Linked DNA regions of Saccharomyces cerevisiae S288C. The gene in region 1 interacts genetically with each later gene. Each region holds a gene or a part of one and is shown in the gene's direction. Other genes may lie near its edges.

Region 1 (8,463 bases):
TGCCTTATTCAAAAGAATTATCAAGTGCTTTTTGCATGCGGAATTCTTGTTCAAATAAGAGATCACTTTTAAAATTTCATAAATCTGATTATTTGGACCATCTAATGATTTTTCCCACGAGTCATAATTGCAATCAATAACCAATACATAAACTTCAGGATCAAAGGTCAAAATTGAGTTCAGAGTTTCTTTATTGAAGTATTTGATACTACCAGGAGTGTCTATAAGCGTCAAGGTTGATGATGGCGGTAGTAAATCATTTTCTACCTGAATAACTTTCTTAAACATGGAAAATCCATTTTCTCTTTCTGTTTTGGTATTGTCTAGAATGACCTTAAAACTATTTGAAGATGAAGGATCCAAATTACTGCTTTTTTTTTGTAGTTCCCTCATTGATGACATAGAAATTTCGTTTAGATCATATAAAAGATGACCAAGCAAAGTGGATTTGCCTGCGTTTGTATCACCGAGGAACAAACATGTCAAATTCAGAGGATGGGTGGCAATGAATGAATGAATATCAATCGACTCAGTAGGTGGTGTTTGAAGGTTAATTGGTTCCTTTTTTTCGGCCTTGGGCACAGATTTGATATTTAAGTTTTCTAATTTTTCATTGAAAGCATTAAGTTGGGCCGATTGTATTATATCATCAGGACTTGGTCTATTGAAATTCTCAATGGCTACTTTACGAGTTGTTTTCGGCAGGTTACAAGGCACAAAAATACCAAGGAGCTCATTGTTATGCTTTTTTAAGGACAGAAATGATGAATTCTGCGACGATAGCGGTATTGATGTACTCAACGAGTTTTTTTTATCTTTTATGATAAAGTTTGTGAACGCAAAATCGTCGGTTTGATTTATGCATGGATCGTTTTTCAAGAAACAGTAATGGTTCATTTCTTTAATAGCCTTCCATGACTCTTCTAAGTTGAGTTTATCATCAGGCGATTTCCTTTTGGTAGGGAGTTCGTTTTCTTTGCTGTCTAATGTCACTGATTTTCCTTGTTTCTCCAAATCACTATTTGACTTCTTTAAGGCAGACAACTTTAAACTCAATGAAACACTATGCTGGTTCGGGGTAAAGTCGCTTCTTTTTACCTTGTCTTTTGCAAGTAGCGTCTTCAGATCCTTCCTTTTTGTCTCAGCATTGTTATCTTTAGTTTCTCTATTCTTATGTAGTCTTTCTAGTAAGGATGCACTTTTCGATGTACTATGAGACTGGTCCGCACTTAAAAGGCCTTTAGATTTTTCTATTCTTTTTCTTGCTAATTGCTCTAATAACGACATGTCAGGTGGTACTGTAAGTTTCGAAGACCACCTCCTCGTACGTGTATTGTAGAAGGGTCTCTAGGTTTATACCTCCAATCTGTTATAGTACATATTATAGTACACCAATGTAAATCTGGTCCGGGTTACACAACACTTTGTCCTGTACTTTGAAAACTGGAAAAACTCCGCTAGTTGAAATTAATATCAAATGGAAAAGTCAGTATCATCATTCTTTTCTTGACAAGTCCTAAAAAGAGCGAAAACACAGGGTTGTTTGATTGTAGAAAATCACAGCGATGGCAGATTATGATAGTGCGAAATATTGGTCCAAGCAGGGAGCTCGTCGTGGGTTACAGAAAACCCGTTACTACTGCCAAATATGCCAAAGGCAATGTAAAGATGCAAACGGATTTCAATCACATAACAAATCGCCATCTCATTTAAGGAAGATTAGTCAAGTGACAGCTGAGGACGCTAGGCGCTACAATATCCAGTTTGAAAAGGGATTTCTACAGTTATTGAAGCAGCGGCACGGAGAAAAATGGATTGATGCTAACAAAGTATACAACGAGTATGTTCAAGATCGCGATCATGTACATATGAATGCCACCATGCATCGTTCTTTGACGCAGTTTGTCCGGTACCTAGGCCGCGCGGGCAAGGTAGACGTGGATATGGATATTGATGATACATCTGAGAACGTTGAAGGTCCTTTGCTTATCAGGATCCATCCCTCATCTTTATCATCACCTTCTGAAGATGGAATGCTGCGAAGTCAACAAGAGGAGCAAGAAGTCATAGCCGCCGAGCTTTTGAAAAGACAACTCAATCGTGCTAAGCGACAAACTGAAAAGGTATATCAACCAGAGATGAAATCGGAAATTAGCGGGGATAGCACTCTGAAACGTGTTCAAGTCACCTTCCACGGGAATGGTCGGGTAAATAAAAAGAAAAAGAAGGTTCCTCCACGGAAAGATGGTATCAAGTTCCGTTGATTGAAAATTTTTCTTTTCAAGCGATGAGGTTAGCGAAGTTGTTCGAACAAGCCCAAATATGTTTAGAAGGCAGTACGAATTGATACCCTGAACTGTTACTACCCGTATACACGTATTAAGTAAGACAATGAGTAATGGACACGTCAAGTTTGATGCCGATGAAAGTCAAGCCAGCGCAAGTGCTGTCACGGATAGACAAGATGATGTGCTGGTAATATCAAAAAAGGACAAGGAAGTGCATTCAAGTAGTGATGAGGAAAGTGATGATGATGATGCTCCACAAGAAGAAGGGCTTCACTCTGGGAAAAGTGAGGTAGAATCACAGATCACTCAGAGGGAGGAGGCTATAAGGCTGGAACAATCACAATTGCGGTCCAAGAGAAGGAAGCAAAATGAATTATACGCCAAGCAAAAGAAATCAGTGAATGAGACAGAGGTCACTGATGAAGTAATTGCGGAGCTTCCTGAGGAATTGCTAAAAAATATAGATCAGAAGGACGAAGGTAGTACGCAGTACTCATCTTCAAGACATGTAACTTTCGATAAATTGGATGAGTCAGATGAAAATGAAGAGGCATTGGCTAAAGCTATAAAAACTAAGAAAAGGAAGACATTAAAAAATTTAAGGAAAGATTCGGTGAAAAGAGGAAAATTTAGAGTTCAATTGTTATCCACCACACAAGATTCTAAAACATTACCACCAAAGAAAGAATCATCCATCATACGTTCAAAAGACCGTTGGCTAAATAGAAAGGCTTTGAATAAAGGGTAATATATAGCATACAACATAATAAAATAATAGTACAATCACAAAATTAATCATAATGTTCATTTATCTATAATCAAACAATGAGAATATATACTGAAGTTTGGTAGGTTATTCTTCAGAGATGCAGTACGATATCACCAACGGTATGCAGACACCTATCAAAACATAAACGGATTCATCATGAGGTAAAACGACTTCCTGTTCAACGCTGAGATCGTGATCATGAGAATCTCCACCAACAAATGCTGTGAAAGACGCATATAGTAAACTGCCACCACTCATAAGCAGAAGATTTCCACTTATCCAATCCATCGTTGGCGAATGACTCAGATTCAAAAGGGATAACACTATGTATCCGATCGGAGTCGATGACGCAAACAAGAAAACGTTACAGATCACCTCCCATTTCATTAAGTTTTGTCTCGATACCATCAAACTAGTGAGGGAAAGAACGGCAGGAATTTTATGAATAACTATAGCAATTAACACCACTATGAGCAGTGAATCATTGTTCGTTGTCGTACCTAATGCAATTCCATCAGATAGTCCATGAATGAATAAGGCAAAGACAACATTGTTTTGTATTAAGTTCATCCATATTTGTCTTGGATGGTTTATTATATCTTTCCAGCTTTGAAATTTGACAGCATCATGCGTATAGACCGTTTGCTTTCTAGAAACCCATAGTGTAACCAACCTATCAAGAACATAAACACCTAGAAACCCAATTAATAAATTCACACCAACGTTTCCATCATGTTCGACACACGCTTTGATACCTTCCGGTATTACCAACATAAATGATGTACCTAACAACATTCCTATACCGAATTGTGATAGAACGGCAATCTTCACACGGTAACTACTAACATCGTCATTGATCGTTTGAGTATCTGCGTTCGTAGTAAAATCAGAAATTGAGTCAGCACCTTCTTGGTTTGTGACAATGGAACTTTTTTGTTTATCAATATAATACAATGGGATAAGCCCTATGAGGAAGGTAGCAATCAAAAGAAAACTTGCTAGCAGTATTACACCCAAAAACTTCATTATTATCGGTCTTGGTAACACTAGCTTTAAACCGCGCTTATTTGAGAAGTTTTTATGCAGCTAAACTGTTTCTCGTCATTTTTTTATAGTTATTTCTCGAAAAATATTATAAATAGACATGCAAAATGATTAGCCATGTCGTATAAATTTATTACCAAGAACAAAAAATACACCCCGATGTCTTCCCCAGGGAATTCAGGCGTGGCTATAGATTCTACCGTTCTGAAAGCAATTGAATTAGGAACGAGGCTTTTTAAATCTGGAGAATATTTGCAAGCGAAAAGGATATTCACAAATGCTTTGAGAGTATGTGATTCTTATTCTCAGGAGCAGATTATGCGCATTAGGAACGCGTATCAATTAGATACTGCGAGACCGGATAACAAACGATTATATCATCCTAGATACATAAAGATATTGGATAACATCTGTGCGTGCTACGAAAAATTGAATGATTTGAAATCTTGTTTGGACGTATCACAAAGGTTACTTAAGTTAGAACCAGGTAATATCAAATGCTATATACGATGTACAAGGACGTTGATAAAATTAAAAGACTGGAAAAGGGCATATAAAACATGTTCTCGTGGACTGCAATTATGCAATAACGATAGCAATCATCTAAGACAACAAAAACAATTCATTAAAAATAACATGGTTCAAAAACAGGACGGCAAGAGAAGTTATATAGATCCATTAGAGGAGACCAAAATAGCAAAAAAAAAAAAGAATAATAATGTTCTAGAATCGTTACCAAAGAAGAAGATTAAAGGTAGTACCAAGAAAACTGATTTAGTTGGCAATTTGCCGATAGAAATACTACCTATCATATTCCAAAGGTTTACCACTAAGGAGCTTGTTACGTTGTCGCTAGTTTGTAACAAATGGAGGGACAAAATTTTGTATCATTTAGACTGCTTCCAAGAATTCAACTTGGCACCAATAAATTTTAAAAATTTTGTAAAGTTTATGGATTTTTTACAACAGAATTTCACCAGGACGTATAGAAAATATATTCTTTCACAAGTAAAAGTCAGTTCTAGAATCACTTCGGAAGAGTTACGAATAACTCAATTATTATTCAGTAAAATGCCGAAATGTATAAACATCGAACGGCTTATACTGTCAATGCCAACACTAACTACAACACAAATCTTTAAGTTAATGGTTAGAGGAGGCACAGATTTTTTTACAAGGCTGCTGGAATTATCTCTCATGATAACTTATAGGCCTGATAAACAACATGAATTGGAGATACTGCAGACTTGTCCTCTGTTGAAAAAAATAGAATTAATTTTTGTCAATTCACTGGTACCAATTTTCGACGGAAATAATAGCGTTGGGAGGGATGGAAGTTTCAATGTGATGGCCCGTCATACTAATATGCAGATATCCACTGCGGATAATGATGAACAGGGAATAGTAGAAGAAAAGGTGATTTATAGTGAGCTAGAGAAGATAACATTGATATGTGATAAGAAGAAAATTAAGAATTTTCCACTTTGTCGTGCTCTATTAAGAGGCCAGTTTCCTCTATTGCAGAAACTGACGATAACTGGTGTAACATTTCCTATGAATAATCAAGACATAATGAATTTTCAATGGCTATTGAACTTCCCAGACCTAAAAGAACTATGGATAGAAGATAACGACAACTGTGAACTCAGTAAGTTTTTGCAATTGTTAAAATTTTCGAATGTCTGGAAAAACTTGGAAAAGTTAACCTTTAGAGAGAACAAGCTATATCCAATTGTTAATTTGGATGAAGATCAGCCTGTTACGAATGACGACGAGGTGCCATCCATGCTATTTTACAAGGAAAATCTCCAAAACCTGGAAAAGTTGGATCTAATGGGGACATCGATAAGTGGTTCTGCGTTGACTAGATTATGCGAGCAGGAATACTTGGATGGTCGGAAATTAAGAAGTTTAAACATTGGGAATTGCCCCAACATCCAGTTCCCAAATAATCACGCTCATACAGCAAGGATGATACTGGATGTGAATGCAGTTTTGAAGAGACTCTCCAAGTTGGAAGAAATAAATTTATCGCATCTCAGCTCCTTGAATGATAGTACGATGAAGTCATTCATTATTAATGTACCATTTTTGGAAAATTTAAAGAGGCTTGACATTTCGCACAATTTTGAAATTACAGGAATATCAATATATGAATTTCTAAAAAAATTTCAGATGGATCATGACAACGAAGCGGGAGGTCAACCACTGGCATATTTAAATATTGACGGATGTTCCCAAGTGTCTCATATCACAGTTAATATGATCCGAGCGCAGAACTTAGTTACTCAAGTGGATTGTGTTTATGAAAGAGATGTATGGAGAAAATTTGGAATTAATTCATATTCATACTCATAGATTAATAAATCACTGATGATAATGCAGTATCCTTCGGAAAATTCTTAGAATATTTAATATAACAAAATGGCATGTACCTTTTGGAGTTGATGGAGGTGAGAATATAGAAAGCTTTTTATATAAAAATGTACTTATTGTCTTTCATTTCAATTTTGAAAAATGTCTGAATTGTTCATGAAATTGTCGTTTGTGGCAGCCGACATAGCGTCCATGGGGAACCTGCTTGGATTGAATAAAGTGTTATCAAATGAACCGTTTTCAATAGCCGGTATGGGAAAATCTTCTGAGTTTGTTTGAACATCATAAGAGGAAATTGTTCCAGATTTTTTTCTATTTTTCCTCATCTCTGCCGACATATTTTGATTATAATAAGAAGATCTTTTTTTGAATTGAGGTCGTGATGGAACCTTCAATGGTGATTTCTTTAGCCGTAAACTAGATGCACCGATGGCAAACGATAAAGAATTTGCCTTCTGCCTTGTACCCTGCTGCGTGAATGAAGATTTTGAACGTTGTGGAGATGTAGAAGGCGATGGAGAAGGCGATAACATATCCATTTTCCTCTTGTTGAAGGTAGAAGATGGAGAAGGCAATGGCTGAAGAGGAAATCTTCCCGGTGCCGCTGTTTTGTTGGGAGACTTGATAATTGATAGTGAATTGGAGGAGGATTCTTCCAAGTCAACTCCCGGCAAGTCAGCATCCATTATGGAAAGAGATTTGATTTGCTCACTGAATCGAGGTTGGTAGAATTGTAAAGGGTTTTTTATTGACGAAGAGATTATTATTTTCTCCTTTAGGAATGTGATGGCCTTATCCAAGGCGAATTCTTGGCCACAGTTATTTTGAATCATGGAAATTTTCGGCCAAGTAGCTCTTGCACCTAAAGTAGTTTGGTGCAATAGGAAAAGTTGAGATGGGTTCTTCAATACTTCGTGGAATTGACCAACCATTGATAGATCGGGTAAAATTGTGACATTGCCAGAGTATTGTTGTAAAAAAAGGTGTTTCAATTTGGTCATCAAATAGGGATGGAACTCAAGCTCCTTTAGGATGTCTAAAAAATGAATAGTTTCGTCGGAAAAAAATTTGAAGATCTTTGTTACTTGGTTTCTGAAACGGGCGGTAATTTCCTTTTCAATTTCACCCCCAACGCAAGTGTTTGAAAACTTTAACAGGGGAAAGACATGTATATTTACCTGGCAGGCGATAATGTGGTCGACATTGAACATTTCAGAAAGACGAGAAATGGGCATGTCATTATCTACAGATCCGTCCATGAATTTCATGTTTGATAAATGTAAATTTGTTGCCCCCCACTCTTTAATCTTTCCAGTGTGAGGATCTTTCTCGAATAGCGGCGTGGAGGGGAAAACTCCAGGTAGAGAACAAGATGCGCATACGGCAGACCAGATGAGAACGTTTGGAGCGGTTAAATTGTTTAGTAGTTTCGGCTGTTCGTATATGGAAGCAGGCGAGACTGTGATATTCAGGATTTTTCCAGTCTTGTTGTAGGCTTCCCTAAAGGTCAAGTTTCCTAAAAACGAAAGCATTGTGTTAATCAAAGGTTGATTATTGAACCAGGTACCGTTTTGGCAGAACCTCGATATCTTGATTAGTAAGTTTTCGTTGGGAGATTTGGAATTGTCGTCATTGAAGATGTTAAACTCCATATTAAGTACATTGGTCAACAAGGAGGGAATTTCCTGGGTCGTGTGGACGCAAAATATGCTGGCAACAATGGCGCCAGCACTGCTACCGCTGATCACCTTAGGCATCAGGTCCGATTCAAAAAGGGCGGCAAGAACACCAATGTGGAAAAGGCCGAAAGTGCTCCCACCGCTAAGCACGAGAGCCGTGCGCCCTATGTTTCTTCTCGTCTGTTGCAAAATACCGAGGAGATAGTGATCGTTCATATTTGACTGATGGATCAGCGCGGTGAGCACTGCTTGAGACTCTTCTAGGTAGTCATGTATAATTTGTTTTGTGCCGGTATGCGAGTGCCTG
Region 2 (7,623 bases), on another chromosome or scaffold:
AATCAATCAGAAAGAAAAGTGAATGAATAAACAATTATATACTTTTTGTAAAACCTTTTTTTCATGTGTAACCTTTTCTTAAAGAAGTAACAGGAAAACGAGGAGCGACTAAGTGACTACTTGATCGTTCGAGTAGAACTTAAAAACAAAAAAAATTAAATATTTACAGTGTAAAGAGAGGCTGAAGATCAGTCAAAAGACGCGTGCAACAATACACGACGATCATTTACCATTTCTCAAGTAATACATATATGCACGTTCATGAACAGGAACATCAAATGGTGAAATTACTTCGGATTGGCCTGGTCGAGCGACGGGATCCCTTAGGTATACAGCGTGGCATGTCTTGAAAGATATTTCCAAATGATGAGGTAAAATGGCGAAAGGCGATAAAAATGGTCTTGGCTTCCATGGTGTGAAAAAGGGTTTTTTAGGATCTTGCCTACCATAAACATAATTTTTCTGCCACGGCAAGTTTATCAATTTACGTGCTTTTGGTTCATCACCTTCCAATTCAGATAATTTAATCGGATCATGATATTTTAAATTTTTGGCCCATTTGGGGTCGAACGTTAGTGAACCATCAGAAATATCACTCATCCTAGTTTTGAAGTGGTCTGTTATATTTTTCGTCCATAGTTTCACGCTTTCCGCTATGATTCTTTTTCCAGATCTTAAAGCGGATTTGGCTCCATCAGATAATTCTTTTTTTGTGGTTTCGTTAGGATTCATCATTTCTGTAGCCAGTGAAATCAACTCGTCAGGCTGACATTTAGAAATGATTTCTCTTCTAATTTCACCGGATTTGAAAAACTCTTGATAAGCGTTATTTAGACTTTCTAACAACTGAGAGTCCTGGATCTCAGGGAGACCCTGTTTGAGTTCATCTATCGACAAGGGCTCATTATTCGACTTACCTATTTCCTTCTCTACATTTAAAAGCTTTCTCAAGATACCTTCCTGTGTGCATCCCTTTAATGCGTTATATTGCTGTGACTCCAGATTCTTATTATATTGCCTCAAAAATTCTTGAAACTGAAGTTTCTTTGGGTTAGAATCCGACATCTTTTCAAAATTTTCCAACTTCTTCTCCCAAACTTCCTTTGGCTCCGTTTTCGCTTCCTTAACATACTTGTTCCATAAAACTATTTGAGTCTTATCGATCTTTAGCGCTTCTTGGAAACTTGGTTTCTTGGCACCGAGAGCTTCCAGCACTTTGTCCGGTTTGACACTGAACATATCTCCAGGCTTTAAAGTATAGCTTGGATGCTTAATTTTTACACCATTAACGCGAACATTTCCATGCAAGATGAACTGACGAGCTTGTCTTACTGACGAAGCAAACATAGCCCTGAAAAGGGCAAAATCAAGCCTTTTTTCTAATACTGCAAAAGTTTGTAATAAAAATGGTGTTTCCTTGATTTCACCTCCACGCAGTGAAGCATCCAATTGTGCTACTGAATCCAATTTGGGTTTGAAAACGGTTTGCCATCTCTTTTCTGTCAAATGTTCACCATGATAAGCTCGGGTTTCCTGCTTTGCCGTCCACTTCTGTTGATACAAAGATTTAGACTTCAAGTCTACACCACCCTTTTTGTACAAATTAAACAAATTATACTTATTGAAAGAAGTGCGTACTCGTCCTCTTGCCAAAGATTTTAGCAAATTAGCCTTTCTTGGCATTATCTCTGTATTTTAATTGTAACCAGTCTTCCGTACCAAAAAAGTATAAAGGAGCTCCTACTCGATATATATTCGAATTAGTTGCACTTCCTCTGGGGAAACCTTCACCTTTTTGACCGTTCGCTCTCTCTTTTTGTATATCTTCAGCATAGTTCCTTAACTAATACTGCGAAGCGAAACGTATCCGGCTGCCACCATGAAAAGTAAAATCGTGCTTAACGAAGAAATCAATCATATAATCTATGAAGATGGATTGGCGGAGTTTATTAGAAGTTGCTAGCTGCTAGTGAAGAAAAGGGAATCGTGGATGTGATGGTAGTACATTGGACAATTGTGGATGAAATACGACTTCTTAGATGGGCATCTGAATTCAAACCGGCCGGAATTCATAAGCATTTCCACATGTTTTGCATAGTGGAAAGAATGAATTCGCCAGATAAGTATCCAGTGACGCTATTACAGAAAGAAACCATGAAGTTGGGGAAGGTATTTACTGCAAAAGACATATGGGATAAGTTGAGCCAATCTTACAATTTAGAGAAAATTGATGAAATGGAGAATACATATTCCTTGGAAGCCACTACAGAGAGTTCACGGAATGGCAATGGAAATGGTGACGATGCAGAAATTCATGAAGAAACTTTACTTGAATTGAATAATCGAATAAGAGTACGCAAGCAAGATTTTACATTACCTTGGGAGGAATACGGTGAGTTGATCTTAGAAAATGCAAGAAAAAGTCCAAACTCTAACGAAGAGTATCCTCGAGTTGAAGATATGAATGAGAAAGATAGTACAATTCCAAAGGAAAGTCCTTCTACAGACCTAAAGAACGACAACAATAAACAGGAAAAAAATGCGACAATTAAAGTGAAAGAGTTGCCTGAATATCATACAGAGGAAAATGATAGCCCCATAGACGTCCAGAAAGAACCCATTAAGGAGGTGCAAAGCGATGAAAAGGAACTCCAGAGGGAACATATGAGTGAAGAAGAACAGAAAATGAAAAGTACAAATAAAACAGCAGCTCCAGTAAGAAAATCTCAAAGGTTGAAAAGAAGTAAGGAAGTTAAATTTGAAGATGAAGAAAAGGAAGAGATAGAAGAAGATAATACGAAAGACGAAGAACAGAAAGAAAAGAAAGAGGAGATCCAGGAGCCAAAAATAACCCACAATGAAGAAGTAGATAAGGAAAAAAACGAAAACGAAGAAGGTGATGATGAGCGTGAAAAATCCACCTCTTATGAAAATACCAATGGCTCTGAAAGCGAAGGAGTTGACGAAGGAGTTGACGAAGAACTGGGATACGAGTCTGAACGTGAGGCAGAAGGTAAAGGAAAACAAATTGAATCAGAAGGGGGCAACTTAAAGAAAAAAACGGAAAACAAAAAAGGAGATGATCAACAGGATGATACCAAAAAGGATTCTAAGGACAAAAATGAACCATTAGCAAAGAGAACTAGGCATTCATCATCCACAGGTAATACTAGCAATGAAACCTCGCCGAAAAGGAAAAGGCGGAAGGCAGGCTCTCGTAAAAATAGCCCTCCTGCCACAAGAGTTTCCAGCAGGCTACGAAATAAAAAATAATCACTGCTCATATATAGATCGCGATAATAAACGCTCATCCGTTCCATAGAGGTATCTGTATTTAATGTAGTGTAGCAGATATAGAATAAAATAACCTTAATGAAGAAATAGAATATACGTATGCTTCTCCTTGTCTAATCTTTTGTAATTATATATCTATTTCAATTAAGGCTCAGATACTTACCATAAACATAAATAAAAAGCAGAAAGGCGGCTCAATTGATAGTACTTTGCTTTTAGTTGACCTTCAACAATTCGACGTCGAAAACCAAAGTACTGTTTGGTGGAATCAAACCTGGGAAACCACGTGGGCCATAAGCATATGGGCCAGGGATGGTTAACCTAGCTTTTTCACCAACAGACAACTTTGGAATACCAACATCCCAACCCTTGATGACTTGGCCGACACCGATGTTACATTGGAATGGAGAGCCCCTGTCAACGGAGGAATCGAATTTTTGGCCGTTCTCCAAGGTACCGGTGTAATGAATGGTAACCAAGTCACCTGTCTTTGGGAAGGTGGCACCATCACCTGGGGAAATTCTGTCAATTTTGACGTTACCTTCAATTACTTCAGACATTATTACTTGTTTTGATTGATTTTTTGCTTATACTCGAGTTTAGGTGAAAGGCCTTACTTTAAGCTTTCACGAGTTTATCCACCAAATTCTTTCAACGACGTCTCTCTTCCGGCAATTTTTTTTGCCCGAAAAAGACTAAGGCGGGTGAGGGGAATTGAACGGCACTATAATGTGGAGGTAAACAGAATGATCAAGCGCTATATACATAAGTAGCTATAGATTATTTATTTCAAGACGGCAACCAACTTTTCGCCAGAATTCCTCCCGTGCTTAATATCATCAAGTAACTGTGGGATATCATCTAACCCGTTCTTGTAAACTTTCACTGGGATGTGGTGGATTTCACCATCATTGATTTTTGGATTGATGAACTTAATAAATTTTATGGCGGCTTCCTTGTATTCAGGGTCTGCTGGCAAAGTAAACGTGCCAAATGGGACGTCGTTACCTCCTATCAAATATAGAAGGGTTCCTTCAATACTGACGTTTTGCCTCCTGTCTTCCTCCTTGATATCTTTTTCGGTTAAAACGGTCAATTGAACGACCGTAGCGTCTAAGTCATCAGCGGCACATTTGTACACCTGTTGAATAGTTTCTGTGTTGGAGACACAGTCCACCAAGTAAGGAATGTTGTTGTACTTCTTTTTTATCTGTTCGATAACGTCAGCATCGTGGTAGTCAAAAAGTTCATCTGCACCGTACTCTTTCAACAATTTTTCATGTTTACGAGAAGCAACGACGATGATCTTGCTGAAACCGTTTAGTTTTTTTGCCAATTGAATAAGCATCTGGCCAACAGCAGTGGCACCACCCCAAAATAAGATGGGTTGATCTCTTTGCGCTTTGGAGGGCTTCCATGTCATGTCCAAGCCAAAACTATGTGTAAGGATCATACCAGCCGTGGTCAATGAGACTGGGAGGGATACTGCCCCTTCTAAAGATTTTACGGGGCCTTCTGGTAGCTTGTCTTTACCGCACAATCTAAACTCTCTGGCTGGTTTATAAGCAGTCTCGGATGAAATGGCAGAGTACTCAGCAAAGGCACCGTTTGAGGGGAACCTCACTGAAGCACCGTGAATAACCCCATAAATGTAATCACCAATGGCAAAGCGTGCAGCATCAACATTTGGGCCCAACTTTACGATTTGGCCGGCTGCATCACAGCCTAAGAGGGCACCTTGAGGACCAATCTTGAAATCAATATGTTTCCAATCGGTAGGGTTACCGGCAACGGCGACAGTCTTAATTAGAACAAATCCTTCTTCTAATTCAGGAATTGGAATGTCCTGTTTGACTACAGCCTTGCCATTTTCAATGACAACGGCTTTCATGGTTTCTGGAATCGAGGCGGACATGCTTGATATGCAGTATGATATTGCTTTTTGCTGTGTATAGTTAACGATTTTTTTTCAACTAGAATTACAGTACTAATCAAGAAGTGAGAGGAAGAAAACGGCAAAAAAAAAACTCTCTCCTTTTAAATCGAAGCATTGCCGAAATACCTTAAAAACGGTCTTAAATCCTTAACATCTGTCCTTACTAATCGATGCCAATCCAACGGAGGGAGCCCATATGCTAGGTACTAAGAGTACGCAGGGGCGGAACCGCGCGACAACCGTAAGCGGATCCGAGGAACTTTAGTCAGCAGGGGCTGTGATGACCATTAAAAAATTGCGGACACAGGTAGTGGAACGAGCAATCAATGTGATCAATTTGCCATTTCATTCCACGAAATGGTTTCCATTCTAAGCATGAATGCTTTGACGTTACGGGTGTTGGTTATTTCGGTTCTTTTTATTGCTTCCGTGGGCACGTACGAGAAGGGAAGATGAATAGAAAAAGAGTTTCCGAGTTTTGTATGTCCAATGTTTACATAATTTATATAACTTGAAGTTTAATCTTGGCATAAAGCTCTAGTTGTGACGAAGTGTGTAGGCCATCACATCAGTTCTCCAGTTTTCTACCCAATTTTTTTATGGATACCTTGATTTTTGGTTTAGGGCTGGATGTCTTTACGCCCTTTATTTGTGTTTTACTGCCCAAACTAGTGCCGGTCTCTAAATATTTTTCTGTATTAGTAGTAGAATCGTTCTCCATTAGTAATGCTTTTTTTTTCTTTTCAAAATTGATTGCCTTGACGTCTAAGTAGTTATTCAGTTCTTTTTCCTTTTTTAGCAACTCATTCTTGCTCTTCTGGTAAAATTCCAGGTCCTCTTTACTCAACCTAGTAAAACTTTCACGGTCTCTCACCAAACCGTTATATTGTTTTTGTTTACTAATAGCATTAGACCTAAGCTGATCTCGCAGGGACTTCCTGGTTTTCCTTTTATATTCCGCTTCATATTTTTTTTGCTCCACTTGCTCTCGTATCCTCTGGGCCTCTACATTACCAACTCCTTCTGACACGAATTTCAGTGGTTTTTTCTCTCTTGCACTATTAGCATTATTATCACTGGTAGATGACATGATGATATAACAGAGCCCACAGTCTTTTGTTGGAACCGCTTTCTCTAGGCTTCGATGGACTTACATCTAATTGCACATTCTCGTGCGTTTAAACGTCATTTTTCCCTCAGATTGGCAGTGCATCAAAAGTAATTCCTAGGGACGACAAAAAGGCGGAAAAGGTTTCAGAAAAATAAGCGGACTTAGCTCAGTTGGGAGAGCGCCAGACTGAAGAAAAACTTCGGTCAAGTCATCTGGAGGTCCTGTGTTCGATCCACAGAGTTCGCAATTTGAAAAATTTTTTTTAATGATTACGCATGTGGATGTGTTCAGTATCAACCGATGCTCGCTTTTCCAATCAAATGATACAAGCCAGACCGAACATTGCATGTTTTCCATTGTAACTTCCCAGGTATATCTGAATTAGTTGTAAAAAGTAATAGTTTACCCGGAATCGTGTGAAAAATTTTGAAAAAAAAAAATGAAGAGCCAAGATACAATGAGATGAGATGAGGTGCTGAAGATGCATGGAGATTCTGTATTTATCTCAAATAAAGTACGCAATAGAGTATATAAGCCAAGTCACCTTTTATATTTCTTAGTTTTTAACTTGCAAAGACTTATAAGAGACTTATAAAACAAGGAGAAAATGGCCAAAAAAGCTATCGATTCAAGAATCCCGTCACTGATCAGGAATGGTGTTCAAACCAAACAAAGGTCCATATTTGTCATCGTTGGGGACAGGGCACGTAACCAGCTCCCAAATTTACATTATTTGATGATGAGTGCTGACCTTAAGATGAACAAGTCCGTCTTATGGGCTTATAAGAAGAAGCTTCTAGGATTCACTTCGCACAGAAAAAAAAGAGAGAATAAAATTAAGAAAGAAATTAAAAGAGGTACAAGGGAAGTGAATGAAATGGACCCTTTTGAATCTTTTATCTCTAACCAAAATATCAGATATGTATACTACAAAGAGAGTGAGAAAATATTGGGTAATACCTATGGTATGTGTATTCTTCAGGACTTCGAGGCATTAACCCCAAATCTTTTAGCAAGAACCATTGAAACTGTAGAAGGTGGTGGTATTGTGGTTATTTTATTGAAATCAATGTCATCGTTAAAGCAACTGTACACCATGACTATGGATGTTCACGCCCGTTATCGTACTGAGGCTCATGGTGACGTTGTTGCAAGATTTAACGAAAGATTCATACTTTCTTTAGGTTCAAATCCAAACTGTTTAGTCGTTGATGATGAATTAAATGTTCTACCGCTATCTGGTGCCAAAAACGTGAAACCACTACCTCCTAAGGAAGATGAC
Region 3 (6,772 bases), on another chromosome or scaffold:
ATCGGTACACCTGGTCGTATTTTACAACATTTAGATCAAGCCGTAGGTCTAAATACTTCCAATTTGCAGATGCTTGTTCTTGACGAAGCTGATAGATGTTTAGACATGGGGTTTAAAAAAACTCTGGATGCCATCGTAAGCACATTGTCACCATCTAGACAAACACTTTTATTTTCAGCGACTCAATCACAATCTGTTGCAGACTTGGCTAGGCTTTCCTTGACAGATTATAAAACCGTTGGTACACATGATGTGATGGATGGGTCGGTTAACAAAGAAGCATCTACTCCAGAAACTTTGCAACAATTCTACATTGAAGTTCCTTTGGCAGATAAATTGGATATCCTTTTCAGTTTTATAAAATCACATTTAAAATGCAAAATGATCGTTTTCTTATCAAGTTCCAAACAAGTGCATTTTGTCTATGAGACATTTAGGAAGATGCAGCCTGGTATTTCTTTAATGCATTTACACGGTAGACAGAAACAACGTGCTAGGACAGAAACTTTGGACAAATTCAATCGTGCTCAACAGGTGTGTCTTTTTGCTACCGATGTCGTTGCTAGAGGTATTGACTTTCCTGCAGTCGATTGGGTTGTTCAAGTGGATTGTCCAGAGGACGTTGATACATATATCCACAGAGTCGGTAGATGTGCTCGTTACGGTAAAAAGGGTAAATCTTTAATCATGTTGACTCCACAAGAGCAGGAAGCGTTCCTAAAAAGACTTAACGCTAGAAAGATCGAACCAGGCAAACTTAATATAAAACAGTCAAAAAAGAAATCCATTAAACCACAATTGCAGTCATTATTATTCAAGGATCCAGAACTAAAATATCTAGGACAAAAGGCTTTTATATCGTACGTGAGATCTATATATGTGCAAAAGGACAAACAAGTTTTCAAATTCGATGAGTTACCAACAGAAGAATTCGCTTATTCTCTTGGTTTACCAGGGGCCCCAAAAATCAAAATGAAGGGTATGAAGACCATTGAGCAGGCCAAAGAAAGAAAGAATGCTCCAAGACAGCTAGCTTTCTTATCAAAAGCAAATGAAGATGGTGAAGTAATTGAAGATAAGTCGAAACAACCAAGAACAAAATATGATAAAATGTTTGAACGTAAAAATCAAACCATCTTAAGTGAACACTATTTGAATATAACGAAGGCTCAAGCACAAGAAGACGAGGATGACGATTTCATTTCTGTCAAGCGTAAAGATCATGAAATAAATGAAGCTGAGTTACCAGCTCTAACTCTTCCAACTTCAAGGCGAGCACAGAAGAAAGCGCTTTCAAAGAAGGCATCTCTGGCCTCCAAGGGTAACGCTAGCAAATTAATATTTGATGATGAAGGCGAAGCCCATCCAGTTTATGAACTTGAAGATGAAGAAGAATTTCATAAGAGAGGTGATGCGGAGGTACAAAAGACAGAATTTTTAACTAAAGAATCTGCAGTAATGGCAGACATTGACAATATTGATAAGCAGGTGGCTAAAGAAAAAAAACAAGAGAAGAAGAGAAAAAGACTAGAAGCCATGAGAAGGGAAATGGAGGCTGCTATGGAAGAAGAAATTTCTGGAGATGAAGAAGAAGGGAAGACAGTAGCATATTTAGGAACAGGAAACTTGAGCGATGATATGAGCGACGGTGATATGCCTGACTCGGAAGGCCACTTGAAAAAGAAAGCTAGAACTGTTGACTATTCCCACGGCCACAATCCATCCAATTCAGTTGATGATGACATTATTGAAGTGGAAGAACCACAAACTTTGGAGGATTTGGAATCTTTGACAGCTAAATTAATCCAGGGTTAAACCCTCCTGCATAGTCTAACCTATAGTATTTAGAACTTGTATACATCTATTCTCTACACTAATATACTTATTTCTTTGTTCAAATCATCGGTAATATTACAATAAAAGAAAAATATGCATATACTTTCGTGCATTGAAGGTGTCAAATGAAATCCCGCTTATAGTGAACAGGCTTCCATCATATATACATATATATATATGTTTATATATGTATATCATCACTTATGCTGCTCCAGGAGATGTAGGTATCTATTCTTTCTTAACGGATCCGCATCTATTAATTGGACCAAATATTGTTCCGAGCTTCTTTCCGTTAGAGCTTCCTTTTCTTCCAGAATATCTTCGAGAACTAATAAAATTTTCAAGCACCAAATATTTTGCTTCCCGGAAAATTCAATTTCGTCATTATTTATTAACAGAATGTTTTCTCTCAAGTCTTTCAACATTTTAAGGTACTCTTGTTCGTCCAGAGTTTTACAAACAATGTCGTTTTTAATGAACCACTTGATATAAAACCATACGGATTGGTCTTCGGCGTCGGTAAACATAGCGTTGATGATATAAGATATTTCAGTCCGAATATACTCCTTTTGATTCCCAACCTCTCCTTTCTGAAACATTCTGCTTATGATCTGTACTCTTTGGTGCCATGCAGAATAATTTGAAATGTTATTGTTAATCTTTATTGTTGTGTATTCAAACTCCTCCTTGTCAAGACTTTTATTAGTGATACTCTCTATGTTACCAACAACTATTCTGCGGTAATGCCATCCGTGGTAATTTCTTGCATCTTGTTCCAATAACTTATTCACGACAGCAAGTTCAGTTTGCCACACTTTAGGGGAACTCGTAGGATAATGTTTCAAGACCCAAAGTCTGTGATTCCATATCCAATAGACTTTGGGGTAATCCTTCAATAGCATCATTACAAAAACTAACTCTTTATCCCAGAAAGGTATTTCCAACTCAGAAGCCAAACTCGCTATAATATCCCTTCTGTAATTCCAAATAGCATTAAATTCCGGATTTTTCTCAAGAAGTTCTGATGTTTTCTTCAGAGCTTCAATTGAGTAAATTTTTTCATCTCTCATATTCAAAACATTTTCAGTCAAGCTTCTATAATCATATATTTTCTTTTCGTCTTGAACTCTCTTTTGTCTCAGTAATTCCTTGGTCCACTGTTTCCTTTTAATGCCATGCTGTTTAATGTGGCAAATATAAAAAATTGCTTGGTAGTCAGTAAAAAAAAGAATTCATAATGTAACGAACATTTGAAGTGCACATACCATTGCTGACCTACTGCTTTATAGTATAAATTCAGTATACTAGGTATATGTGGCTCAAAAATGTGGTTTTTTTCTTTTTTGCCTTTAATTTTTTTCAAATGTTTACGTATGGTTTATGATTTAACATTTCAAGAATAGAAATCGCCCCGAAGAATGATTGATGTTAAATACTCGTACAAGAGTATTGAAAACCACTTCAAAGGGGCCCAATAGCACATTTAATGTCACAATCAATATCACTAAAGGGTTCAACAAGGACAGTTACAGAATTTTTCGAGTACAGCATTAATTCCATTTTGTACCAAAGAGGCGTATACCCAGCAGAAGATTTCGTAACGGTGAAAAAGTACGATCTTACGTTACTAAAGACACATGATGATGAACTGAAAGATTACATTCGGAAAATTCTTCTACAAGTTCACAGGTGGCTTCTTGGTGGAAAATGCAATCAATTAGTATTATGTATTGTAGACAAGGATGAGGGAGAGGTGGTGGAAAGATGGTCCTTCAATGTGCAACACATTTCTGGCAATAGCAACGGGCAGGATGATGTTGTAGATTTAAATACAACACAATCACAAATCAGAGCTTTAATCAGGCAAATCACCTCAAGCGTTACCTTTCTGCCCGAACTAACAAAAGAAGGTGGGTACACATTCACAGTACTTGCATATACAGACGCGGATGCTAAAGTTCCGTTAGAATGGGCCGACTCCAATAGTAAAGAGATACCTGATGGTGAAGTAGTTCAATTCAAAACATTCTCTACCAACGATCATAAAGTTGGTGCGCAGGTCAGCTATAAATATTAATAGAATTCAAGTCAAAAAAAAAAAAAAAGACGGAAGTCCAAAAAAATCTCGTTTTCGATGTTTAGAAAGAATATAGATTTATGAACTATATTATACTATACTACGTACTTCCTCTGTAAACCACTTCATGCGTTTTTTCAAGTGCCTCTGTTAAAGAACCTTGAGTGAGAAACGAAGTCTTTGACACTCAAACTTTGCTTTTTTTGTTCTTCTTTTTGTTGTTGTATTTGAGGGGTGGATACTATCCTCTTCATAACAGGTGGTGATATTTTCAGATCTTGCCTCACAAATTTTGACCAATTCGGATCTTGCATCCTTGCCAAGTTGTTTTCAAATTGACCCAAAAGTACCTTGTCCCACTTGAATATGAAAAGATCGCGATTACTGTCTGGCCTGCTGCCCTCGTCAGTGTCGTCTGTTTCTAAGTTGTAGGCACTCCATAGCTTTTTCCATAATGCCAGGTCCCATGGAATGCCCTTTAAAGCGAGGACAAAAGACCATACCGCTGAATCAGGGTTATTATTGGTCAATTTGGAGTAGGTCTCGTAATAGTCATCAGCGGAATCCAGAGGAGCCATTAGAAGTTTAATAAACTTCAGCAGCTGGTCTATATTATTGTCTGCATGTCTTTTCACCCTCTTATAAGAGGTATTTTCTCGCAAGTCAGAATCGTTACTTACACTTTCTGGTAAAGTGTGAAAAATCTCCTTCAGCAATTCTAAATCAAGGAGAAGCTGCTCGCCAATGTTGACAACAGTTCTGGTTTCAAATTTCCTTTTGCTGCCCGCCAGGGAAAAGGGTGGAACGGGCTGCAGAAGGCGGATGGTATTGCTTACAAAATTTGTAGTGATGATATCAATCACCTTATCCAAGAAATTCCACTTATAAACATCTCTATTGAATTGCGACAAAATAAATGCCAAAGTCGAAGGTTGCTCTTGCTGTTGTTTAATAGAGGCATCTGTTAATGCGGGCATTTTAAGTACGGATTTGAGGGTTACCATGTACCTGCTATAATCTTCTATCGCAGCATTTGACCAATCATTGTTGATAAACTCTCTCCATACAAAATTTAGATCTAAGGGTATGACACGGTTTAATAGAAAAGAAGTTCCTTTTGCTAGTAAATCGTCGTATATATTTTTCGTTTTCGTAAAACTGTTTGCCAGCTTTTCACGATTACCGCTGAATTCAGATAATTTATCCTCCAATTGATCTATAGTCGTGGCACAATAATCTGCAGTATTGATCAATAAAACGGTATACTTGGCAGCTTCTAGCTTATCCTGGACTTCAATATTGTCGGGCAGCAGTAAAGGAAGAAGAATTTTTTGTGAGTAAGTTTGAAGCCATCTACTGAAAAAATTTGCCAATGAAGTCAATATGCTATCATTGGCATTATTATCAATGAGCTCTAAGGTCTGAGTCAGTACGGAACGATATGTCCTGAAAAGGTCTGCACTCGAGGGTAACACGAGAGATTCTGTTTCATTAGATGGGTACTTCGGCTCACTCATATAAGAAAGAAATTTCTTTTCCATCATTTGGTTTTGGTGAGACACCCATAAAGTCAAATAAGGTTCGAAGCAGGAACTTAGTTTTGGTTCCTTAATTTTTTTTGAAAATCGTACGTCGATGTATTTTTCGAAATCTAGCGTCGATTGTAATGCTGTCATGAATAGATCAATGGAAGGGTTCTTGTCTTTGAATTCCCTTTTCAGAAGTGTCTGAAGGTCCTTGTGTGTAATGTGATAAAAAGTGGTGGTCAATCTGACTGCCATTTCCCAGTCTTTTAAGAAATAGTCTGCGAACTTTGAATTGAAGTTATTAAGAATTTTTTTGAAGTAAATGTATCTTCTCGATAAATTTTCTAGGGATCCGGCTTCATCGTCGACCCTAAATATCTCTTTCATTTCGAAGAGAAGTTTGTCCAAACACCAATCTATCATCTGGGCTCTCGTACTTGTATCGCAGTCGAGTAGCTCGCAGGCACCTTCGCGCAATTCCATAGTGAGTGCTGTATCATGCTCTGAGATATTGCCGCCGGAAAAGAGCGCATTGTAGTTTTGTTTAATTTTGGACAAAGTGTCTCCTTTCAGTCTTGAAATGGAGCTCAACAAATAGTTTATCTCGTCCAATGATTTGTAAGAGATGAATGTGTTTTCAGCAAGCGAACACATTATCTTATAAGGGGACACCATTTTTTTGAATGAGCCCTGTGAGAGTAATTCATTGCATTGTATGTAACTGTCTGTCAATATCTTTAAATTTTGGAAAAGAGTCAAAGAGTGGGTGAGGTTTTTCTTGGCAATGTCCAGGTACGAGATACCTTCTGTCAGATTCGATATCGTCAACTCGGTGGAGGCTGAGACATCTTGAGTTTCTTTGAAATCTTGGAAAACTTTCCTCAGAGAAGCCTCTATTTCAGCGGAATTTTTAGGGTGTTCCTTCAATTCATTCTCTTCTTTGAGAATATCCTCTTGCAATTGCTTTTTGTAGCTTCTGGTAATACTGATCAGTTCATCTATGTTGTTCAGGGATTCTTTTGAAAAAAGTATATTGGTAATATCTTCCAGCGGGTCATAATCTACCGTACCTTCCAGCATTGTCCTTCTGAGAAAACAAAAATGGAAGATGTTGTGAAAATGCAGTAAGTGACAATAAGCTAGCGACTTTTCAATGATCGCAGATTAAGTATATATACACTTTAGGTCTCCTTCTCTTCTTTACTAGCTACGAAAAAACAAAGAAAAAAAAAACAAAATAGAGGGAAAAAAGATATACGTATAAAAATATGCTCCAGGGGAGGTTCGAACTCTCGACCTTCAGATTATGAGACTGACGCTCTTCCTACTGAGC
Region 4 (8,439 bases), on another chromosome or scaffold:
GTTTGCCAGCTAACTTGGTTGACTTGAACGTCCCAGCCAAGTTATTGGAAACTCCAATTGACTTGTCTTTGAAGCCAAACGACGCTGAAGCTGAAGCTGAAGTTGTTAGAACTGTTGTTGAATTGATCAAGGATGCTAAGAACCCAGTTATCTTGGCTGATGCTTGTGCTTCTAGACATGATGTCAAGGCTGAAACTAAGAAGTTGATGGACTTGACTCAATTCCCAGTTTACGTCACCCCAATGGGTAAGGGTGCTATTGACGAACAACACCCAAGATACGGTGGTGTTTACGTTGGTACCTTGTCTAGACCAGAAGTTAAGAAGGCTGTAGAATCTGCTGATTTGATATTGTCTATCGGTGCTTTGTTGTCTGATTTCAATACCGGTTCTTTCTCTTACTCCTACAAGACCAAAAATATCGTTGAATTCCACTCTGACCACATCAAGATCAGAAACGCCACCTTCCCAGGTGTTCAAATGAAATTTGCCTTGCAAAAATTGTTGGATGCTATTCCAGAAGTCGTCAAGGACTACAAACCTGTTGCTGTCCCAGCTAGAGTTCCAATTACCAAGTCTACTCCAGCTAACACTCCAATGAAGCAAGAATGGATGTGGAACCATTTGGGTAACTTCTTGAGAGAAGGTGATATTGTTATTGCTGAAACCGGTACTTCCGCCTTCGGTATTAACCAAACTACTTTCCCAACAGATGTATACGCTATCGTCCAAGTCTTGTGGGGTTCCATTGGTTTCACAGTCGGCGCTCTATTGGGTGCTACTATGGCCGCTGAAGAACTTGATCCAAAGAAGAGAGTTATTTTATTCATTGGTGACGGTTCTCTACAATTGACTGTTCAAGAAATCTCTACCATGATTAGATGGGGTTTGAAGCCATACATTTTTGTCTTGAATAACAACGGTTACACCATTGAAAAATTGATTCACGGTCCTCATGCCGAATATAATGAAATTCAAGGTTGGGACCACTTGGCCTTATTGCCAACTTTTGGTGCTAGAAACTACGAAACCCACAGAGTTGCTACCACTGGTGAATGGGAAAAGTTGACTCAAGACAAGGACTTCCAAGACAACTCTAAGATTAGAATGATTGAAGTTATGTTGCCAGTCTTTGATGCTCCACAAAACTTGGTTAAACAAGCTCAATTGACTGCCGCTACTAACGCTAAACAATAAGCTAATTAACATAAAACTCATGATTCAACGTTTGTGTATTTTTTTACTTTTGAAGGTTATAGATGTTTAGGTAAATAATTGGCATAGATATAGTTTTAGTATAATAAATTTCTGATTTGGTTTAAAATATCAACTATTTTTTTTCACATATGTTCTTGTAATTACTTTTCTGTCCTGTCTTCCAGGTTAAAGATTAGCTTCTAATATTTTAGGTGGTTTATTATTTAATTTTATGCTGATTAATTTATTTACTTTCGTATTCGGTTTTGTACCTTTAGCTATGATCTTAGCTAATTGAAGAGGGTGGTGTGATCTTTAACCATACCTTATTATCTTTCAGCTGCTTACCATTTTCTTATATTGATTTTTAGCGAAAGATTTTTATTCACAAGCTTTTTTTATCCTTAATGCTCGAATACTACAACAAAACAAAAAACATTAAACAGTTTTTAATTTTGTGAACAAACTGAATTACAAGGCCTTACATCTTATTTAGAATATATTAAGAAACAGAGGCCAACATGCCTTCTTAATTATATTGATATGGACCTCTGTCCTTCCTAAAAACGGGTTTTTGTTCGATGAAAAATCACCAGTAGAGCACCATATATGAATTTACAATCATTGTAGGGAAAAGAAAACTTGTTCTGCTTCGCCAATTGATTTCATTTCTTTTTTTCCTTTGTTTTTGTTGTATACTATTAATATGCGTAGTTCTTTGTCACTTAGTGGTTTTTTGTTTAATTTATAACGCGAAAGCTGCATACTAAAAATATAGAGATGAATGGAACTCCGAACAAGCAAGAGAGATATTATCTATCTCTGTTCCATAATAATAACCAGTAGTTCAGTTGGGGAACTTAATAATGGAACTTCAGAGGGCACAACGGAATTTGAAGTTTTTACAAAACGAGGATTATGTGAACGTTACCGATCAAACTAACCTGAATGGAGAGAGCCAGAATGCTTACTCTTTAGGAATGGAAACTCAAGTACCGGAAATGCAGTTTTCCTTATCATCTGATGATGATTCAATAGGTACGCAAGTAAAAAGCGTAACTGCACAAAAATCGCCTATGACGCAAGAGACTACGAAAAACGATACAGAAAGAAATAAAGATGTTGATAAAAGTTGTAACCCAGTCAGCACTTCCCATCCCGATTTAGGCGGATCAAATATCGAGGAGAACATATTCATTAACACTCAAATTCAAAGCCGACTTGATGACGCAGAGGAAGAAACAAATCTTAAGTTAAAACTTGAAAAATTCAAGTATTCGTTCAAGAGTAGTAACGCAGATGATACCCACAGCAATGCAAATGTAACAGCTAAAAGAAGACCAGCAATAAGGAAGGCTAATTCGAAACTCAAAACAAAACCTAAAACTAAACGAGACCCTAAAATTATCAAAAATATAACTGATTTCAATATTAATAACTACGAACGTTCAAGGACTGCCAGCTTATTAAAGCAATTATCAGGTAAGCACAAGAAGGTTTTGGACATAATAAAGACGCAAAATGAAGGAAACAGTGATAAACCTCCCAGAGCAAGGAATAACAAGGGTGAAAAAGCTACTTTTGATACATATAGTGAACAGGAGTGGAAAGATATTATGAAACTTCTTCTACAAAAGTTTCCGCAAAGTGAGGAAACGGATTTGAATGAAGTCCAGAAATTTTTATATGGAAGCGAAAAAAGCTCGAATTCTCTAGACAATCAAGAATCCTCACAACAAAGACTTTGGACAGCATCACAATTACCACCCGAGCTTCCCGATGAGGCTATTCAACCAGAGCAGGAAGAAAGGATACGCGATACCCAAAGTGCAGTAAATTTCTTATCGTTGTCTCAAGTAATGGATGACAAAAGTGAAATTATGAAAGACGAAGAAAGCATAATTATTTCACGGGGAGATTCTACAAGCTCTCAAGAATATGGAAACGGGTTAGAGCCACAACAACCGGTAGGAAATGTTGTTGGTGAAGATATTGAACTGGCTGTGGGAACACGTATAAATGCATTTTCACTGACAGATTATAAAGCTTGCAAACCTATGTCTGTTGAGGTAAGTAGAAGATGCGAAAACAGTACGGATAATGATTATGACAATATTTCTATTGTCTCAGATACTACAGATGAGACATCCACATTGTTTCCACTAGACCAGTATCGGTATGTTTTCATTGAAAATGATGAAAGACCACCATTAGCCACCGACACGATAGGCAGCACACAGTTTTTCACTCCAAACACATCGCCTTTGGATGGGATAATCGATTTAACACAGGAATCATTCAAAGCTGTTCGATCGTTAATATCACCTTTGAAAGTAGAAAACAACAAAACAGGGGTAACATCACAAGCATCAAATCAGGTTCAGGTACCAGCTACAAGAACCCCTACAATTATTCCTCAAAAGAACCTTACTACAACTTTAAAAACTGAAGAAGAAAAGAATAACATAGGAAGTTCCATCAGAGTTAAATTATTGCAAGAAAGCGTAGTTAAGCTAAACCCCAAACTGGTGAAACATAACTTTTATAGAGTTGAGGCAAATGATTCTGAAGAAGAGGAGACAGAATTTGATGACCAATTCTGCATTGCTGATATCCAATTGGTAGATTCCTCCAAAATTTCGACTAAAGATTCTACACAAAATCCTACTACTAGCAACGACATTATTGATACCTCTGCAGCTAGTTCCATAGCTTCTCCCGAGAAATTTTGTGAGATCATGATGTCCCAATCAATGAAAGAGCTTCGACAAAGCTTGAAAACAGTGGGGTTGAAACCTATGAGGACGAAGGTTGAAATCATTCAATCCTTACAAACTGCATCTCAAATTCTGTCCACAGCTAATCCAGATAATAAAGGTGAGCATGGTGGGGTGGCAAATTTCAGTAAGATAGAAATATTTGATCATTTAACCGAACTAATTGAAGCCTTCCCTGATTTTTTGGAGCGAATATATACCTTTGAACCCATTCCGCTAAATGAGCTAATTGAAAAGCTGTTCAGCGCCGAGCCATTTGTTTCGCAAATCGACGAAATGACCATCAGAGAATGGGCCGATGTTCAAGGAATATGTCTGAGAAACGATAAAAAGTAGTGCCGAATGATTGAGAATTTGACAAAACAAAAACAAAACAAAACAAACGTTACGTATAGATGAAGAATACACGTACACAAATATGCATATATACCGTCATGAAGTAGCTTAACTTAAATAAAAGTTTTTTTTTTTTAGAGTTACCAATATCGCAAACATGAAAATGAGAATAAAAAAAAAAAAGCAGAAAAAAAAAAAGCATAACATGGAGAAAAAAATAATAAATAATTGAGTTTAGTTGAGACGCCGGTCTTCGCCAGGCCAGGAATTGTTTCACCAGGTCATTCTCTGCAAAGCCTTTACTTTAACATTTAGATTCTTCTTCTTGGCGGAGCCGCGACCATTGCTTCTCTTTTCGTCTGATTGTTTGCTAGTCGAAGAGACGTTACAGTAAGTACCAGCTTTCACGTAAACAGCAATGTCGTTGTCGTCGCCATGTTTGAAGCAGCATCTTCTGCCATAAGGACAATAACCTAGTTTCTCCCAATTCACACAGGGCTTCGTCCTGAAATTCTTGCACGATTTCTTAACCTTTAATTCGCCGAGTCCGTGAGCAAACTGACACTTACTGCCATAAGGGCAACTTCCTTTTAAAGTGAATGATTCGCACAGCTCTGTCTTGTATAATTGTTTGGGAGTTTCCTGCACTTGGCTTTTCACCTTAGGTTGAGCTGAGGATTCCTTCTCTGATGAAAAAGAAGCATCATTTTTGGGCTTTTGTTGAGACAACTGTTGCAAATTCTGTGAAGTTAATGGTAATTGTGAAGATTTTGGGACATAGTCCGGATTTATTTGTACCTCTAGTTTCTTTTTAAAAGTAGTAGGTGCCGTGCTATTCAGGTGAGCGGATGGGAGAAAAGGGTTCATTAACTGTGGATCATACAGTAGCCCCGGTTGAATAGCGTTTGTATTTTTTGGTGGAGAGAATGAAACTGCCGAAGATATTTCACTGCTTGTTTCCTGTATGTTATCCTCGTTTAAAATCGTCTTGTTGTAATACTCCTCCAGTTCCCTAATATTGATCTGGTACTGGTAGTCATTTAATGGATTTTGCTCTTGATCTGTGGAAAACAACGACGTTAAGTCAGTCTTCTGAGATTCTGGTCTAGTATATGATAATTGAGCCCACATATTGCGTTATTTTTTACGTATTGAGTTTGCAGCACTGTTTCGCTTTCTCTCAAGATGCACAAATACGACCTACCAAGAGCCTCCAAGTCCCACCAACGATTATGTCTTCTCTCAAATATATATACAAGTTACATGTAGAGAAATCGAGACGAGATTGCTGGCACAATGCACCCAACTGCATGTGCCATTGTGCATCTACACCTCCAAATTAGGGTGTCGATTGGCGTCGTCTTCTTTAATGTGGGTGCATTTTGCGGCGGCGCGACAAATATAGAGAACTGACCAAGGCAGTGCTGTCAAGAAGAGAGAATGGTTACGGCAGCGAAGACGCAAATGGGCTAGGCAGAATGGCATTCAAGTTATGGCTACTGGATGAGGAAACAATATACGAGCACGTGTTCGAACGGTACACACAATTGGAGGGCCAGTCCGGGAAACTGGCGCAGGATTTGGGTATTCAGGATAGAAGGGGCGGTGTGCTAGAGATAACGTTTGAACCCTCTGGGCTGGAAGGCGGCAGAAAAAAAAAGCGAGTGAGAAGAAGAAATAAGGCTAGTAGTGTTGAAGAAGATCAGAATGTTGCTGTGGATAGCTATCATGTTAGCGTGGGGCAGTCCATATCAAGCTTGCGCTCGTCCAGAGACAACGGAAACTCCACCACAGGATACGTTTTGTGGTCTACCACACCTTTCTTCATCAACTGGCTGCTGTATAGTACTAGCGCTGCACCTTTCCGTCTTGGGAGTCAGGTGGAAGTAACCTGCGGGTCTTCTTGCGAGGGGCACAAGCTTGAGTTGCCCAGGCTGGTCGACCTCACGGGCGCTGATCGCGGCAAGAGAGGTATCTTGGAACTTGGAGCAGGAATATCAGGTATTTTGCCCGTGATTCTTGGTAACTTCGTCGACACCTACGTGTCGACAGATCAGAAGGGCATTCTTAATAAATTAAAAGATAACATCATGGAAAACTTATCACAGTTGACCAGAAAGCGGTGCATTTCCCGATCACTAAGATTGGAACTTCCCACCGTCGAACCAGTTGGCGACGCTGATATCACCGCAGCGTCACTTCCATCTAAGTCTACGTTGCATTTGGAAGTAGCCGCTCTAGACTGGGAGAAGATAAACTTGCAAGACAAAAAGACCCACTCTCTGCATCCTGAGTTGTCACTCATAGGTGAAACATGTTCTTCCGTGTACGTTATAGCTATGGATGTCATATACAACGAGTACCTGATAGATCCGTTTCTGAAGACGCTCAAGCAACTCAAACACTGGTTACAAACTACCTACAATTTGCAATTCCATGTCCTCGTGGGGATACACTTGCGGTCACAAGAGGTGACAACACTGTTCTTGGAGAAAGCCATCATAGAATATGACTTCACGGTTTATGATATCGTTGACCAGGTCATACAAGAGTCCCGTTTTAACTTTTATCTTATCACCTAGTCCCATATATAATAATAGAAACAATATAATGCTGATAATCTTATTTTTCTTTGCGATGCGGCAGTGCCTCTTCCCCTCCGTACGGATTGGGAAGATTTTCATTTTTGATTAGCAAGGGCACTAAGCCAACTCTGTGTGATATAGCTAATAATCTAAAAGCTGCTGGATCCGTTATCGTCAAGATAAAGCGGACTTAGCGATTTACATAGGATCACACTTTCTACACACATTTGATTTTTAAGCTTCATTTTCCACTGCACTTATTTTTCCCAAGCATCGTGTTTTTTTGTACATTATAAAAAAAAATCCTGAACTTAGCTAGATATTATGGCTATCTGGGAGCAACTAGAAGTCTCAAAGGCGCACGTTGCTTATGCATGTGTTGGTGTCTTTTCATCTATCTTCTCTTTAGTGTCACTTTATGTCAAGGAGAAGCTTTATATTGGTGAGTCCACCGTAGCAGGTATATTTGGGCTAATTGTGGGTCCTGTTTGCTTGAACTGGTTTAATCCTCTGAAATGGGGGAATTCAGACAGTATAACATTAGAGATAACGAGAATAGTATTATGTTTGCAAATTTTTGCCGTTGCCGTGGAACTGCCACGGAAATATATGTTGAAGCATTGGGTATCTGTGACGATGCTATTATTGCCAGTGATGACAGCTGGATGGCTTATTATTGGTCTCTTCGTTTGGATTCTTATACCTGGCTTGAATTTTTCTGCTAGTTTGTTGATATCTGCGTGCATTACCGCAACAGATCCTATTCTGGCGCAGTCGGTCGTCTCCGGTAAGTTTGCCCAAAGAGTACCTGGTCACTTAAGAAATCTACTGTCTGCAGAGTCAGGCTGCAATGATGGTATGGCCTTTCCTTTTTTATTTCTTTCTATGAATTTAATCCTACATCCCGGTAATGGAAGAGAAATTGTCAAAGATTGGATTTGCGTTACTATCCTGTATGAGTGTTTGTTTGGATGCTTGCTAGGTTGCTTCATTGGTTATGTAGGCAGAATCACCATCAGGTTTGCCGAAAAGAAAAACATTATCGATCGTGAGTCGTTCTTAGCATTTTACGTTGTCCTGGCGTTCATGTGTGCTGGGTTCGGCTCCATTTTGGGTGTGGATGACCTATTGGTATCATTTGCAGCCGGTGCGACTTTCGCTTGGGATGGGTGGTTTTCTCAAAAGACACAAGAAAGTAATGTTTCTACCGTGATTGATTTGCTACTAAACTATGCGTATTTTATCTATTTTGGTGCCATTATACCTTGGAGTCAATTCAACAACGGTGAAATTGGCACAAACGTCTGGCGTTTAATTATACTTTCGATAGTGGTCATCTTTTTACGTAGGATCCCTGCAGTCATGATATTAAGACCTCTTATACCTGATATAAAATCGTGGCGTGAGGCACTTTTTGTGGGCCATTTTGGTCCTATTGGTGTAGGTGCAATTTTTGCCGCTATACTAGCTCGTGGAGAATTAGAGTCTACCTTTAGTGACGAACCCACTCCTTTAAATGTTGTACCATCAAAAGAGGAAAGTAAA

Evidence for each region.
Region 2: mutations in DIA2 (region 1) and EAF7 impair growth when combined (synthetic growth defect), as found in Saccharomyces cerevisiae (4 studies listed by BioGRID, with this or other methods).
Region 3: mutations in DIA2 (region 1) and MAD2 together harm fitness more than expected from each alone (negative genetic interaction), as found in Saccharomyces cerevisiae (4 studies listed by BioGRID, with this or other methods).
Region 4: mutations in DIA2 (region 1) and SLX4 together harm fitness more than expected from each alone (negative genetic interaction), as found in Saccharomyces cerevisiae (7 studies listed by BioGRID, with this or other methods).

The regions. Positions count from the first base shown.
Region 1 is NC_001147.6:470,334-478,796, forward strand, and holds DIA2 (DNA-binding SCF ubiquitin ligase subunit DIA2), read left to right. Parts: upstream 1-4,260; coding exon 4,261-6,459; downstream 6,460-8,463. Other genes in the region: SKI7 (Ski7p), read right to left, coding at 1-1,287; RTS2 (Rts2p), read left to right, coding at 1,566-2,264; BUD21 (Bud21p), read left to right, coding at 2,392-3,036; Mn(2+) transporter ATX2, read right to left, coding at 3,142-4,083; TGL5 (triacylglycerol lipase), read right to left, coding at 6,606-8,463. UniProt on the Saccharomyces cerevisiae protein: F-box protein component of a SCF (SKP1-CUL1-F-box protein) E3 ubiquitin-protein ligase complex which mediates the ubiquitination and subsequent proteasomal degradation of target proteins. Probably recognizes and binds to phosphorylated target proteins.
Region 2 is NC_001146.8:368,373-375,995, forward strand, and holds EAF7 (Eaf7p), read left to right. Parts: upstream 1-1,995; coding exon 1,996-3,273; downstream 3,274-7,623. Other genes in the region: mitochondrial 37S ribosomal protein uS4m NAM9, read right to left, coding at 223-1,683; peptidylprolyl isomerase FPR1, read right to left, coding at 3,510-3,854; YNL134C (uncharacterized protein), read right to left, coding at 4,079-5,209; FYV6 (Fyv6p), read right to left, coding at 5,799-6,320; ribosome biosynthesis protein KRE33, read left to right, coding at 6,949-7,623. UniProt on the Saccharomyces cerevisiae protein: Component of the NuA4 histone acetyltransferase complex which is involved in transcriptional activation of selected genes principally by acetylation of nucleosomal histone H4 and H2A. The NuA4 complex is also involved in DNA repair.
Region 3 is NC_001142.9:384,335-391,106, forward strand, and holds MAD2 (spindle checkpoint protein MAD2), read left to right. Parts: upstream 1-3,322; coding exon 3,323-3,913; downstream 3,914-6,772. Other genes in the region: RNA-dependent ATPase HCA4, read left to right, coding at 1-1,815; Rab geranylgeranyltransferase BET4, read right to left, coding at 2,034-3,014, 3,102-3,104; VPS53 (Vps53p), read right to left, coding at 4,051-6,519. UniProt on the Saccharomyces cerevisiae protein: Central component of the spindle assembly checkpoint which is a feedback control that prevents cells with incompletely assembled spindles from leaving mitosis. Thought to be recruited to unattached kinetochores by MAD1.
Region 4 is NC_001144.5:411,219-419,657, forward strand, and holds SLX4 (Slx4p), read left to right. Parts: upstream 1-2,062; coding exon 2,063-4,309; downstream 4,310-8,439. Other genes in the region: PDC5 (indolepyruvate decarboxylase 5), read left to right, coding at 1-1,196; TIS11 (Tis11p), read right to left, coding at 4,583-5,440; RKM5 (S-adenosylmethionine-dependent methyltransferase), read left to right, coding at 5,788-6,891; NHA1 (Nha1p), read left to right, coding at 7,219-8,439. UniProt on the Saccharomyces cerevisiae protein: Regulatory subunit that interacts with and increases the activity of different structure-specific endonucleases. Has several distinct roles in protecting genome stability by resolving diverse forms of deleterious DNA structures.